Linked DNA regions of Diceros bicornis minor. The protein of the gene in region 1 purifies or fractionates together with the protein of each later gene. This does not show direct contact. Links are inferred from orthologs where the notes say so. Each region holds a gene or a part of one and is shown in the gene's direction. Other genes may lie near its edges.

Region 1 (7,243 bases):
TGAGAAGGAGCAGGGCAGGGACAAGAGCCAAACCACAACCTCACCTCTTCCCTCCAGCCTTCCCCTGATCCAGCAACCCAAGAGCTAATGCTTGGCCTAGAGGGGGACTGTAGGACCCTGTTTCAGCACCAGCTGGTGGCCATTCTGGATTCAATTCTCCTGGCAATACCCATCTCTATCTCCTCATAGTCTGGGACCCAGAATGGGGGGAACCAGGCTTCCATCCACCATCTGATCTCTCTCCCCTCCCGTTTCCTGTCTCCATAAACAACTGGACCTTAGTAGGAAGACAGTGCTCATGCCTTCTGGTCTTCAGGGTTAATTTGAGCCATTGCTGGTCAGAGTCGCCCTCATCTGGTCTTCAGGGAACTGGCTGGGATAGCTCAGGGTGAGGTGGCCACAGGCTTTTTCTGGACCCAGTGGAATCTCCTGGCACTTCAGGCATTCTTGTGAAGAATGCCCCAGGGAATGGAGGGGGCCAATGACGGTTTGGGGCTAGGAGATGCCCAGGATATGGGTTCTACTTGAAATAATTTCCTATTAAATTTCAACTCCATTTAATGGGAGGAATTTGTTAAAAATCTGCCACACACTCACCAAAGGAATACTAACATCATTAATTTTATTAAGAAAAATGAGAGCTAATATCTATATAACATTTGCTCTACACCAGGCATCATTCTTATGTATTACTCACTGAAATAGAATACTAAGAACCATCAGCCCCATCTTATAGTTGAGAAAAATGAGGTATGAAAAAATTATATAAAACTTGAGTGACAGAGCTGAGATTCTAACCTTGGCAACCACCCCAGAGAGTGCCTCCCACCCGGCCTGAAGGATTAGGTGTGAACTTATTAAATATGACAGTCAAACTATCCTCACAGATCTATTGAAATTATTAAAAAAGACTGACACTGTTATATGACCTAGAAAAAATTTTAATGTAATTGCTGTTAGTTGAGTAAAAACTTAAAGATTATACAGCATTAAAAATAATGTTAGTGAAAGAAAATTTTTTACTTGTTGAGATCACACGTCACCCCATGGCTGTCAATTTAATGGAGAAGTTATTGGAAGAAAAATGATATGATAATTCTTCTATATTTGATGAAGAATTTGCTTTTCAAATTTTAATTTGATAATTTTATTTATATGTCACTTAGTAAGTCGTTTATTATAAATATGGTTTAGGGAATAAAAAAGGCTTTTTTTTTTTTTTTGGTGCAGATCTTTGGAAAGATTTGCTCTGGCCTAACATCTGTTGCCAATCTTCCTCTTTTCTCTCCTTCTTTTTTCCCTCCCCAAAGCCCCAGTGCATGGTTGTATATCATAGTTGTAAGTCCTTCTAGTTCTTCTATGTGAGCCACGGCCACAGCATGGCAGCTGACAGATGAAGTGGTATGGTTCCATGACCAGGAACCCAAACCCAGGCTGCTGAAGTGGTGAGAGTGCCAAACTTTAACCACTAGGCCATCAGGGCTGGCTCAAAAACAGCATTTTTAGAATTAATGATTTACGAAATAATTTACGTGAATTTACCAGTAGTCATAGTCTGGCGTGCCTCAGGTGGACCAGGCATCTTCCATACCCTATCTTTGATTGGCTCACTCTGTGGGCGGAGGGGAGGCAGTGGTAGTACATTCCTTCTAATTTTGAAGTATTGAAGCACAGATTCTATCTCAGCATAGAGCATTTGGCAGTGATGCCGTGGCAGGGTTTTATGCTCTGATAAATATTGACTTCTTGCAGGATTGGCTACATAATTTGCAGGGGCCAGTGCAAAAGGAAAATGCAGGGCCTCTTGTTAAAATAATTATTAAATGTTTCAAGCTGGTGACAGCAGGGCATTAAACCAAGCATGGGGCCCATCTAAGCCCGGAGCTTTGTATAACTGCCTAGGTCACATACTGAGGAAGCTGGGCCTATTTCCATGTTATAAAAATCGGGAATTTAGGGACACATTTCCTTCAGAATAGCACGGGTATAAGTGAAGAGTCTGAGAGGAAAATTATCAGGGAGTGAAAGCAAATTTCTGGAAAACAGGAAGTGAATGGAAGCATGCTGACAAACGAAACAGAAAGAAACTGCAGCCCAAAATAATTTCCAGAGAGAAACGCAGCAGAATTGGGACTCTACTTTCCAGGTGTTATCTGACGGGGCTGGCAGGTGCAGGGTGAAAGGGTGAGCTAGGAAGTAACAGAATTGTATAAGTGGCTCAGAATTCACAATTTCCCTCCACCAGCAAAGGCAGCCTTGTGATTACAGGCAGCTGTAAAACTGGGCTCTCAGCTCTCAAGAAATTTAACCAACAGCTCAGGGAAAATTAATGCTGACCCAGGAGGGAAACAAATACAGATCAACAACAGATGAGGAAAGAAACCACACCAGCTATCTAGAAAAGTCAGCTTAGACTTCATGCTTGAATATGAAAGGACAACCCAGAATCAGCAGACAGAGGAAGAATTACAGCAGCATGAATGGGAAAAAAATCTAGGTACACACATATAAAAAGGGACACTTGAGGAAACATAATTTAGTAAACAGAGAGAGGTCTACAAATTGTTATCCTCAGAGATATTTGAGAAGAGAGTGCATTCATGAGACAAAAGCAGGCTGCTATTGAACAAGAAAGAGGACTTAGTATTTTTTGTTAATAGCCAAAATAATTTTCAAAAATTTAATAAAAGATTTGGAAGATAAAGTTGAGATAATATTCCAGGACATTAAGCTAAAAAGACTTTTAAAAATGAAAAAATATGAGAAAAAAGATAACTGTAGCAAATCAGCCCAGGAGGCTGCCATCTGACTAACAAGATTTCCAGAAAGAGTGATAAATCAGAGAAAATGGCAGGAAAGAAATTGCAAAGCAACAGCAGAAACAATTTCCAGGGAGGAAGAGAGAAATGAATCTTCAGCTGAAAAGGACCCCAGGAGTGCTAAACAGATTAAGTGGAAAAAGACCACCAACCAGAGATATTATGGTGAAATTTCAGAACATGATGAATAATAAAAAGAAAAATTACAAATGTTTCCCAAGAGAAAACAACAGTTCCCCGCAAAGACTTTTGAGGAGACCGACACATTTCTAGGCATTAACATTGGAAGCTGAAGTCAGTGGAACTGTGCCTTCAGGATTTTAGAAACTCATCTTGAACCTAGAATTCTGTGCTAGACAAATGAATAAAGGTATTGGCAAAATAAGGACATTTAAAAACATGTAACTACTCAAAATTTGTGCCTCCTACGCACCCTGTTAGACAAAGCTACTTGAGAGGTACTCTAGCAAGATGTAGACAGGAAATGCCAGTTTCAACCCAGAAACCAAGTGAAAAGAAATCACAGATAGCCACTCAGCTGCAAGGACAGAAAGAATCAGTTACAGCAGTAAGTTAGTGGGTTCCTCAAGTCCTCAGGAAGAATTGATTGGATTTCAAGCAATGGAGAGGAATGAAAAGCGGCAAGATCTTAGGCATAGGGTAAAGAAGGTTACAAAAAGAAAAAGAAAAGCAGTTAGACACTCTAGTGAAAAAACAATGAAAATCGTATAAGGACATTATCATTCAACAGAAAGCAAACTAAAATATGGTATAATTTTGAGTGCAGTGTAGGAAAAGAGGTCATTTATTTATCCGACCATGCTCCCCTTCCTGTGACACAGAGGTCCATGATTGCGAGCTGGGCGCAGGGGACACACAGACCACCACCGAGTTTTCGTCGTAGAGGAGCTCATAAGGCAGCGGGAGGCACAACTGTGGAGAAAGGATTCAGGGTAGCAACTTCTGGTAAGTGGAGCCACACTCACAGAAGCAGGACACCGACAGAAATGGACTCCAAACTTCCCCAGGACCTAACCTCAGCTACAAACGTCCCTCCGCAGTCGCTCCCCCAACTTCCCCGCTTCCGCCCACAGCACTGTGCGCTTCGACCTAGGAACTGAGCATGCGTCAACCTAGTGCGCACGTGCTCACTCCGGTCCAATCGGAATCCCGAGCCCCGGGGATTCCAGGGGGCTGGACTAACCTCGGGGTGGGGCGGAGTCTCAAGGCCGAGTAACGGACGTGATTGGTCGGCCGCAGGGTACACATTCTTTTTAATGGGCGGAGCCTCGCCCCTGAGCCACGTCTAGTAAACTGTTCTCCTAATTTGGGAAGGGTCGGGGGCGGGCGGGGCGTGGAGCGGAGAGCGGCGCGGTGTGCGCCTGCGCCGAGCGCCGGGCCAGGGCGTGTTCCTCGCTGGGGTGCGCGTTTTGCTCAGTTACTGTGCATCTCCTGCCGCTGAAGTGCGCCCTGCGGAAGCCGGCCGCTCCCGCGCCCAACCTGTTAGGTGCTGCCCTCCGCGGTGAGTGTGCGTGCCATTGCACTCGGGGTTGCTTCTCTCCGCGCGGCCGGAGTGGTGCTGGACCCTCCCCACTCCCCTGCCCCGCCCTGTCCCATCCCCCTCCCTGCGCTCGGACTCTGCCCGCTGATGCCCACTTTCCAGGGCCAGGGCAACAACAGAAAGTGCCAGCCAGGCTCTCTCCTTTCTATCCCTGCACCCTCCTGGCCGTCGCTCACGTGCTTTGTTGTTGTCATTTGGTACAGATCATGTCCAAGTCTCTGAAAAAGTTGGTGGAGGAGAGCCGGGAGAAGAACCAGCCGGAAGTGGACATGAGCGACCGGGGCATCTCCAACATGCTGGACGTCAACGGCTTGTGTAAGTTCTCGGGCAGGACCTTCCCCTGGGAGGAGCTGGAAGGGTTTGTAAGTTTTCCGAGTAACTGCCAAGTCGTGGTATGAGAGGTTGTAATGGGTTACATCCCACCCCTGCTTGTAAACACCCCTTGTCAAGAGCTCAGCTCAGAAAGTTTGCAGTCAGAATCTGTTCTGTTCCCACTGGAAAATGAACATGAGAGCTGGGATAAGAACCACACAGACTGTTCCTGCTGAACCTCCTCAGATGTCTGTGCTGATTTATGGCATTTGGGTGGCTTTTCCCCACAGTTTACTTAATACCCACTTTATGTTTTAATTAAATCATTTTTGAATCATTCTTCTTTTCGCCTAATATAGTCTTTGGCCCTTGAACAAACGCCACACAAAAGTTACATGATAGGTATTCTTGTGCCTGGAGTCTGTTAAACGTTTCTTGACTCGTTACCTTTTTCTGGATCTTTATTCTCCTAACTTAGTTCAGGCTTTTGTAATCTCCTGTTTTGTTATCTCCTGCTTGTGCTATTGTGATGTCTTCCTAACTTTCTCTCTCACCTCCAGTTTTACTGCCCCTGTAGTTTAGTCGCTGTATTGCTTTCAGTGTTATTTTCCTGTAACACATATTATTGTGTTACTCTCCTTTAAACCAGGGATTGCAAACTCAAATGCCTGCGGGGGCCAGGTGAGGATGGTCACGAACTCCATAATAGTATCCCATCTGAAGGGGTAGCTGCTACACCTGCTACTCAGATCCAAACACTTGTCACCACCTGGGGACGTTGGCCCAGTGTTGTCAGATTTTTTTTTTAAGAAGCCAAGAATCCACATCAAATTTCCTGATTTTTAGAAGTTGGCAACTAATTCCAATATTTGAAAAATACTTTAGACGTGAAACAAAACACTTCTTCAGGCTGAATGTGGCTTCTGTTTGGACCTTCTCCCTTAAACACTCCTCCTGGTTTTCAGTACCAACAGTCATGCCCCAGGTTCCTTGACGTGACATGCAAGGCCTGTCTGAATCTGACTACACTCTACCTTAGCTCCTGTCCCTTCCATGCATTTGGCGTCCCAGCCATACTGAACCCATTGCCTTTCCTGAACCAGGGTGCACTCTTTGGGGTCTTCGTGCCTTTACAAGTATTGTTGCTTTGCATTCCGCCTTTCTTCACCTGAAATGCTTTTACTTTATCTGTGAAGGGTCAGCTCAGATGTCACAGCCTACGTGAAGCCTTCTCTGTCTGTAGCAAGCAGACACAGTCACTCCTTCCTCTGTGAAGTTGGATGTGCTTTGCTTCATGACTCTTGTTACAGAGGATTGTAATGCATTCCTAATCTAAACGTCTCTTTCCCTTTGGGAGACTGGGGGGACTAAAGCTGTGCAATATTCACGTTTGCTGCCTTTACCATAGTGCCTGGAACACAGTAGGAGCTCAGAAATGTGTGATGAATGAAGGAAAGAAGGATGGATTAGGCCTGCAAGTTTATGAGATCCAGACTGGGATGTGACACTGGAGGAGAAGAGGAGGTGTCCAGGAGACCCTGAAAGATGATGGATTGCTTGTGAGGCATGGAGAGCACGGAGTCAAATTTACTGTGAATCCCTGGTTTGTGCCTGGGACAGAGATTGGGGTTGGTGCTGTCGATACATCTCAGCAGAAGGAAAAGGGCTGAAAAGCTTAGACGATTTGTGTTTGGTAACCCTTAGGAAGACACCTGCCGTTAAACTTAGCTTTTGTACTAATTAGCATCTCAGCCCCTTGGGATGTGTTGTCCTGTCTCCGTGGTGGTTGCTTCTCGGTGGCAGCAACAGAGCGGATGTCTGGTTCTGAATTGGCAGTTACGAATCTGGATGTGTCCCTGCGCTGGCCTGGCTGGCTCTGCTGTGGTCGTGATGGTCATCAAGAGCATTCTGCAGTAGAGGAAGAGGATGGCGAGCGGCAGGCAGGAGGCCTGGCTCAGCTGTGTTCTTGGCCTCATGGCTTTCTGCTCTCAACTCTGTTTTTCTCATGGGGTTGAAGAAAGAGGTTGCTTTCAGCAGAGGAACTTTATTCTCCTCAGCTTTGAAGAGGACTCTTTATGTAATATTTAGAAGTAGTGGGAGTGTGGTGTAGCTATTTCGGTTCACTTGCGTTATCTCTTTGAAGCCTTGGCTTTTATTGAAGAAGCAAAGATAGCCACTTGCTTCCTGAAAAAGATGTTTCCGGTGTAATATTATTTGCTGAAAAGCAAGATCCTTCTTAAGTTTTCTGAAAGAAGCGGCTTAAGGAAGAACCACAGTGCTTCTGGGGAGTTCGTGGAAGTGAATTTGGAGATTCTGCCTCCTCTGTAGTGTGTGTAGACCCAAGGAGTGGCTACTTTCTCCCATAACTCCCTGACTTCTGGACTCTTGGAGCCTGGAGGGTTCCAGGGTGCCTTCAGAAGCCCATTCCTCAATTGGGGCTCATTTATCAGTACTGTACATAATGCTTACTTTTTTTTTTTTTTTGCTGAGGAAGATTCACCCTGAGCCAACATATGTGTTAGTCTTCCTCTACTTTGTATGTGGGTCGCTG
Region 2 (7,475 bases), on another chromosome or scaffold:
AAAATTGCTCGAATTATTAAGTTCATTCTCCATGAATTTTCAAAGTGAATACACCCATGTAACTAGTCACGCAGGTCAAGAAACAGAACATTACTAGCTCCTGTAGCCTCCCTCTTGCCTCCCGCCACTGCCCCTGCCCCCTTCTAGTCACTATCTCTCCCATGGCTAATCATTATCCTGACTTCTAATATCACAGATTAGTTTTGCCTGTTTTTGTACTTTATATGATTAGAATGATAGAGTATATCCTCTTTTGTCTGATTTTTTTCACTTAACATTATATTGAGATACATTCCTATTGCTGCTTGTAGTTGCAAATTGTTCATTCTCATTGCTGTATAATATTCCATTGTGTAATTATCAAAATTTATTTACTGATTCAACTGTTAATAGGCATTTGAATTATGTTACCATGAACTTTCTAGAACATGTATCTAGGTGCACAAATTTAGTCATTTTTGTTGAGTGTAACCTAGAATTGAAATTGTTGATCATAATGTATGTGTGATGTTCAGCTGTAGTAGATACTACTGCCTTGGCTTTGCTTTACTGATAATAGAAATAAAAGTACACAAGGGACAGAGATTTGTCGAAGGTCACCTAGCCAGGACTGAGCCAGAACTGGAACTGGGTAATTCACTCCAAGGTCTAGATTTCAGGGACAGACTGGCCTAGAGATTCAGCAGAGGTTCACAGCTACACACATTTAACTTATGAGCTGTCTTTATCATCTAACCCTTGGGTAGCATAACACCAACCACCAAGCATGAGAAGGCTGCTCATCAGTGGGGCCATAATTGTAAATACCAATTTAGATTGGAGGGAGCTGGTGCATCCATCTTCTCTGCAGCTTATCAAAGAACAGCATGTTTGTGTCGCTGATTAAGCTAGATTTAGATTCAGTCTACTTCAGTGCCAGGCCCTGTGCAAGGTGCTTTCCTATATATTATCTCATTTACTCTTCTGAACAAACACCAGGTCAATTCACATCCATAACGACTATAAAAGCATAACATCAAAAGAGAGTATATAAACTCTGTAAGCAAACCGGAGCAATTTAGAACAGTGCTTTTTAAGCAATCTATGGTGAACGACCAATCCATCATAGATCAGTATTTTGTAAAATACAATAAAAAAAGAATTATTAGAAAAATAAAAAGACATTCAAAATATAAGCTTCCAATTTTTATTATCAAATTAAACAAATATAAAAAGTGCACTGTTAAATTGTTATAAAAGTTTCTAAACACTCTCAGTTTCTATATTTATATCATTGAGGACCGATAACAGTTTGCAGATCAATACTGGTTTTCAGGCTACACTTTATAATTCACCATCCATCCCCCCTTGGCCTTTCAAGAGAGATTGATAATTATCTTAGAGGCAGAAAGGTTTGAATAACAAGACATCTGCATAATATTGAGACCCTGGAAACCACTCACACCCATACAGGTTACTGTCTACATTAGGGGGACTTTATCATTCCCCTATCTTTATCAACATAACTCTATTCCAAAAAACTCTTGCACAGAAAGATTAAAGTTACAAATAACTTCTTTTTATTCAAAGACTTCCCCCAAAATCTCATTGAAATAAACATAAAACCCTTAAACTTTTCAATAGATAGCATTAAAAAGACGATTTACTCTTGTCTTGTCTTGTGTTCACAGATCCTATACTACTATATCACAAGCCTTAGCCAAAATAAATCAAGCATCACCCCATTGAAAGACCTGCCTTAAACTAGATTCCAAAACCTTATAAATATCCCCACTTTGCCCTCCCCCAGTCCAAAATGCTATTAAGACTGCCAAGGCAGGGCTTTTCTTACCCTGGTATACAATAAACTCAGTTTTACCTTCTCTACAGCTTGGTTTGCTGGTATTTTCTGGGAGCCAGCATTCAACAATCTAGACTTTCCTTTGTTTGTTCCTCCTGTTAGTCTTGCTCAGTTGCTTTCCAACTTTAGTATGCATAAAAATTACCAAAGAGGGTTGTATATACAAAAGCGTGCACAAGCAATTTAAGAGATCTCTATGTGTAATTTTGACCATGCCATATTTAGGACCTACACCCTGCATACAGATATCAGCAATTGGTGACGAATAGAGAATCATAGACTGTCAGAGCTGAAAGTGGCTCTAGGTGCCCAAACATCAGTGCGTGGATCAGCTACTTTGAAATCCTATACCTGATGTAGCCCCTGTTAAAAAATACCCATCCTTTGGGGCCGGCCAGGTGGCACAAGCGGTTAAGTCCACGGACTCTGCTGCAGCGGCCCAGGGTTCCCCAGTTAGGATCCCAGGTGCGCACCGACGCACCGCTTGTCAAGCCATGCTGAGGCGACGTCCCATATAAAGTGGAGGAAGATGGACACGGATGTTAGCCCAGGGCCAGCCTTCCTCAGCCAAAAAAAAAAAAAAAAAGAGGAGGATTGGCAGATGTTAGCTCAGGGCTGATCTTCCTCACACACACAAAAAAAATACCCACCCCCTTGGTTTCACCTCGGAGGTACCGAATCAGCGTTTCTAGAGGTGGGGCCTGTGAATGTTTGTAACAAACTCCCTAGGGGATTGTGACGAATAATCAGGTTTGAGAACCACCATTCTGCTCCACCACTTCATTTTGTAGATGAAGAAATGGAGATTCAGAAAAGGGAGTAAACTCGCCCAAGATCACATGGCTACTGAGCTGTGCGGCTCATGAGTCCCTGGCAAGAGTTCCCAGGGCTAAAGATCAGATTTTGGAGATGTCCTTATGTATCCAATATCTGAACAAGAATGATTAATGAGGTCATCAACCCACAATTCTATTTTGGCTTCTCAGCATCTCTTTAAGATTTATCAAGGTGATAGTTGGGGATGGGGGTGGGGGTCACGTGTCATAATCTTCCCCTGCTCCTGGGTGAAAATTCTAGCCGTCATCATGACTTCTCTGCTTTCTATTAGGTCAGAGGCATCAGCTAAAGTATAATTTTCAAAAGAGGTAAAATTATGACTCTTAAGCAAGGATAAAATGAACACGTACTGAGACTCTATTGTCCCTCTCGTTTGTTAAATTTTTGTTGTGCTCAGGAATTGTTGCTTGTCATTTTGCTGCTTAGCTCAAGTAAAGGCGGATGGGTTGTTAAAAGGCTTTAGGAACACGTCCTAGGAAGGCCGCGCGCCCCGCCACCCCCCCCCCCCACACACTATAAGTGAGCACCTGGAAGGAGTCAAGGCCCAGGCAGCTACTCCCCATGGTTGTTCATTACTCAGACCACACTCTTTGCTCCATTCTTTTGTTTCTCTACTCATCAGCATGCATGTGGCTAGACATTGACACCCCAGTCTTCAGTCTGCATGATCATCACTAAGTGCTCAACTTTGGACAACAGTGTCTGGAGCTTAGTCCGGATTCTTGATGGACACTATCTGATGGGCAGCTCTCCAGTCAAGGATCAGCATCCTTTGGGTCGGGTGATCACTCAGGGTCAATCAGCTGTACCTACTTGGAGGAAACACAGTTGCCAAGGGGCTGTGTGAGTGTGTGTGTGAAAGAGAGACGGCCAGGAGATCCCAAGTGAGAACTTCAAGAGGGCAAGAACAATAAAATGTGTCTTTTAATCAATTCCAGCAAGAGTGCTTGACACATTGCGGTTTGTGCCTCTCCCTATTACTCCAAATGAGTCTGGTTGTCACTCTGTTGCTTTTATTTAGGCGGGATAAGTTTGGGATGGGGGTGTCTCACAGGAGCCCACGGCGTACCTTCCAAATCATGTTTCCACCAATATTTGGGATCCTCCTTTGTACAAGCCATTGAGTTGCTAGACACAGGGGTGTTTTGTAAGAAGCCTCGGCCCTGCGCTCACGGACTTCAAACTTCTCAGTCTTGGATGGGTGTGAAGAGGAGGTTGACAGCGAGGACAAGTGCAGGAACAGTTGGATGTGCCCAGTTGGCAGGACCTGAACAAATTTGGGTCACTCTATTTCTTCCTAGAGCTGGCTCACTCTCCTTTGTGGGCACAAGACATGGGCCTAATAGATGTCCAGGTAGAAATAAACGCAAGGGAAGCGCGAGCTCCTCACCAAGCAGGCGGGGCGAAGGCTCTGGGAGACAGAGGAGCAGGTGGGTTCGGTTCAGCAATCACTGAACCCCCATTTGTGCCTGGATCTGTGCTGGGTGCAGAGCCGGGGGAAAGGAGGCTCCCGGGCTGGAGGGGCACACAGACTGATCATGCCGCACGTCCTGCAAGGGGCAGATTTGGGGCACCCTCCCTGCTGCGGGCAGCCAAGGGGCGCGGGGCGCAGGACCGGCCGGGGCGAGGGCCCGGAGCGCGCAGCTCCTTCCAGGGCGGAGGGCGGCGCGAGGGAGGGAGAGAGGGAAGGGAAAGGCGAGCGTGAGCTGCCTCAAATGCTTGGAATAATTCCGCTTCCGTTTGGAAAGCCGCAGCCTCAGTCCCGCCGCGCCCGCCGCGTCCGCCCAGCGCCAGCTCCGCGTCCCGACCGGCCCGCGGCTGCCCGCTCCCCCGCCATGGCCACCTCCCCGCAGAAGTCGCCCTCTGTCCCCAAGTCCCCCACTCCCAAGTCGCCCCCATCCCGGAAGAAAGATGACTCCTTCTTGGGGAAACTCGGAGGGACTCTGGCCCGGAGGAAGAAAGCCAAGGAGGGTGAGTGCGGCCCGGCCTGACGAGCGGCAGGGGCCGGGGCAGGGGGCCTGGGCTCGCAGGGCCGCGCGGGCGCGCGCCGCGGGTGCCCGGGGCGGTGGGAGCGGGGCGCGGCGGCGCGGGCGCGCGCTTCCCGGGAACCTGGTGCCAGTCTGTGCGCGCCCTGCGGGCCCCGCCGCCGCCCTGCCGGTGGTGGCCCGGCGCTGCGCTGCAGGGCCCGGGCGCTCGGGTGGGACAGCCCGGCACTGGGACCAGGCGACGTCCGCGCAGGGCCTGGCGGCTCTGCGTGGTCCGAGGGCCGAGGAGCCCGAGGCGGCGTCCTCCCGTAGGCCCCAAGTCCCCGCCCTCTCCGCCCCGAAGGCTGGCATTTCCCAAGTTTCTGCAGAAACTTTTCTGGGCGCCGTCACTCTGACTCTTCGCTTTCATTGGTCTTTGCCATCAGGTCGTTTCCTAGACCTGCTTAGGTCCAGATGCAGCGTTGGCCTCTTTGGATCTTTTGTCCATTCCCAGGGCCCAGCAGGGTTCTATTAATGAGTAGATCAACATCAAATGTTTGTTGAATGAATGAGGGATAATGTAATAAATGATCCGGCCATGTAATAAATGATCAAGTTGCACCAGAGGAGAAAACCCGGATTAGACACACACACTTAGCATCCTGCGCTGCGACCCTTCTGTGAACTCAGGAGTTGATGGCTCCTGCAAAAACCATTTCCTTTTTCCCACCAGGGTGAATTGAGGCGATCTTATTTTTTTCCAGGACAGTTTGCATGTAAAGTATTTTGTTCCATGGGCAGATTTCACATCCTGGTTTTTGGTTTGAAAAATGAGGTCACAGTTCTGAAGAAGCACTAGTGATGGATGTGTAGGTAGAAGTTGTTTGGTTAAATTTTTTTCATAGATTGCTCAGTGGTTTGGGAATAACTCTTCTGAAGGCGATGATGCTGGGATGGAAAATAAGTTTTATGTTCTGAGTTATCCTAAAGCATAAAAAAGAACTTCAGTGTTGAGAATTATCGAACTTGACACAAAGAACTAGACTTCTGTTGTCTATATTGATGTGAAAAGCAGCAAAACAGATCCCCAAAAATGTTTCCCCCCAGTGTGGTTATTTTGGTAAACCGTTGTCTGAGTAGTGTACAGTTGGTAGCAAATCATGAAACCCTGGCTTGGAAAGTCCTTTTCTAGACTACCCTTCTAACTTTTTCCTACAGTATTCCTGATATGGGCTCTCTAGCTTCAGACTGGGCAACTCAGAATTTCTGAAGCTCATGACCTCCCAGGAGAGCTCACCCCACCTTTGCAACTCTTTAGAAAAGTTTGCTTTATTGTAAAAGTAAAAAGTTGATCTCTCTGTATCTACTGTTATTCTATTCATGGAGCTGGGAGGATGAGTCTGAGGGTGGCCTTCACTCTTTTCCAGTGGATAGCCTGTGTCCTAGTTTTCCCTTCACCAGTCCAAACATCCTCTGTTCCTATAGCTGGTCCTCATAGACATGATTTTATGGCCCGCTGGCCTCCTAACTCTTCAGTTTTGGTCAGGACCCCTGCAGGAAACAGAAGGTCAACTTAGTTGGGATTTTGAAAATAGAGTAGTGAAGGGACTATGTAGAGAGGTGTGGGCAGGGTTAAGGGAACCCAGAGGGGTGATGAGGAACCTAGGGGCCAGCAGCAGACAGTGGGAAGCTCTTACCACCCCTAGGCCTGAGGGGACAAGGGGAGCAAACCAGAACCCATTGAGAGCTGGAGCTGTGGAGGGTGGGCTGCCTGGCAGGAACTGTAGCTGCAGAGGGACACAGCCACTGTGGGAGATGTGGAGGTGGAGCAGGGAGACAGGGCACAAGAGATACTCTGCGTGTTCTCTCTCTTCTTGCCCTGGAATCTCTTGTTGGTGTTTCCCATTGGCTGGACCCAGCGGGAAGTCACAAGGACTAGGGAATATGGGTGATGCAATATGTGGGGGTCAGCTCGCTTAGGGCACAGAGCAGTGCAGAGAATAGATCATAGTGGGGGAGGGGGGCTGGAGAATAACTAGCAGACCCTCTCAAAGTGAGCTGCCCAGAGGTCAACATAATGCTTACTAGTCCAGTCCAGCCAGCCCAGGTGAGAACAGAGCTGTCACCTCCTTTGCTCTAGCACAGACACCATGTTCTCTTCATGCAGCTAAGCCTGCTTTTCTTTTTTTTTTTTTTTTTTTTTTTTTTTTTGTGAGGAGATCAGCCCTGAGCTAACATCCGCCAAACCTCCTCTTTTTTTTTGCTGAGGAAGACGGCCCTGGGCTAACATCTGTGCCCATCTTCCTCCACTTTATATGGGACGCCGCCACAGCATGGCTTACCAAGCAGTGCGTCGGTGCGCGCCCGGGATCCGAACCAGCGAACCCCGGGCCGCCGCAGCGGAGCGCGCGCACCCAACCGCTTGCGCCACCGGGCCGGCCCCTAAGCCTGCTTTTCTTCATTCTTCTGCCAGCTACTTCACGCTGTTATCTCTCATTGCACTTGCTATCTGCTTACTCAAAGACATTTTTATGTTTGTTGTTCCTAAACCATTTCCTTCCCTATCTGAGGTTTACTCAATTGGGTTTTTGAAACCAAGTACAAGATCTTATTATCATCTGTATTATACTTAACTGTTAAGTCCTGATTCTGTCATTCAGTCTATTAGCTAATCCAGGGAATGTAAATGGGGCCCACCGTCACCCAGCTCCAGCTGCTCGCTGTTGCACGTGGTGGTTCTGCGAGCCCAGTCAAAGAAGGCGTTGGGGTTGGTCTGAGATAACCCGCTGTTGGTGCGCGTGTGCTAGATCTCAGGGTTCAATGCTTTACCTGTC

Evidence for each region.
Region 2: the proteins of RSU1 (region 1) and PARVA purify together in Homo sapiens (affinity purification with mass spectrometry; 3 studies listed by BioGRID and IntAct, counting the BioPlex papers as one, with this or other methods). This does not show direct contact. The link is inferred for Diceros bicornis minor from reciprocal best matches to the Homo sapiens genes RSU1 and PARVA.

Annotation. Positions count from the first base shown.
Region 1 is NC_080775.1:17,074,504-17,081,746, reverse strand, and holds the start of RSU1 (ras suppressor protein 1), read left to right. Parts: upstream 1-4,220; 5' UTR 4,221-4,341; intron 4,342-4,583; 5' UTR 4,584-4,586; coding exon 4,587-4,695; intron 4,696-7,243. UniProt on the Homo sapiens protein: Potentially plays a role in the Ras signal transduction pathway. Capable of suppressing v-Ras transformation in vitro.
Region 2 is NC_080746.1:70,670,555-70,678,029, forward strand, and holds the start of PARVA (alpha-parvin), read left to right. Parts: upstream 1-4,460; 5' UTR 4,461-4,512; coding exon 4,513-4,648; intron 4,649-7,475. UniProt on the Homo sapiens protein: Plays a role in sarcomere organization and in smooth muscle cell contraction. Required for normal development of the embryonic cardiovascular system, and for normal septation of the heart outflow tract.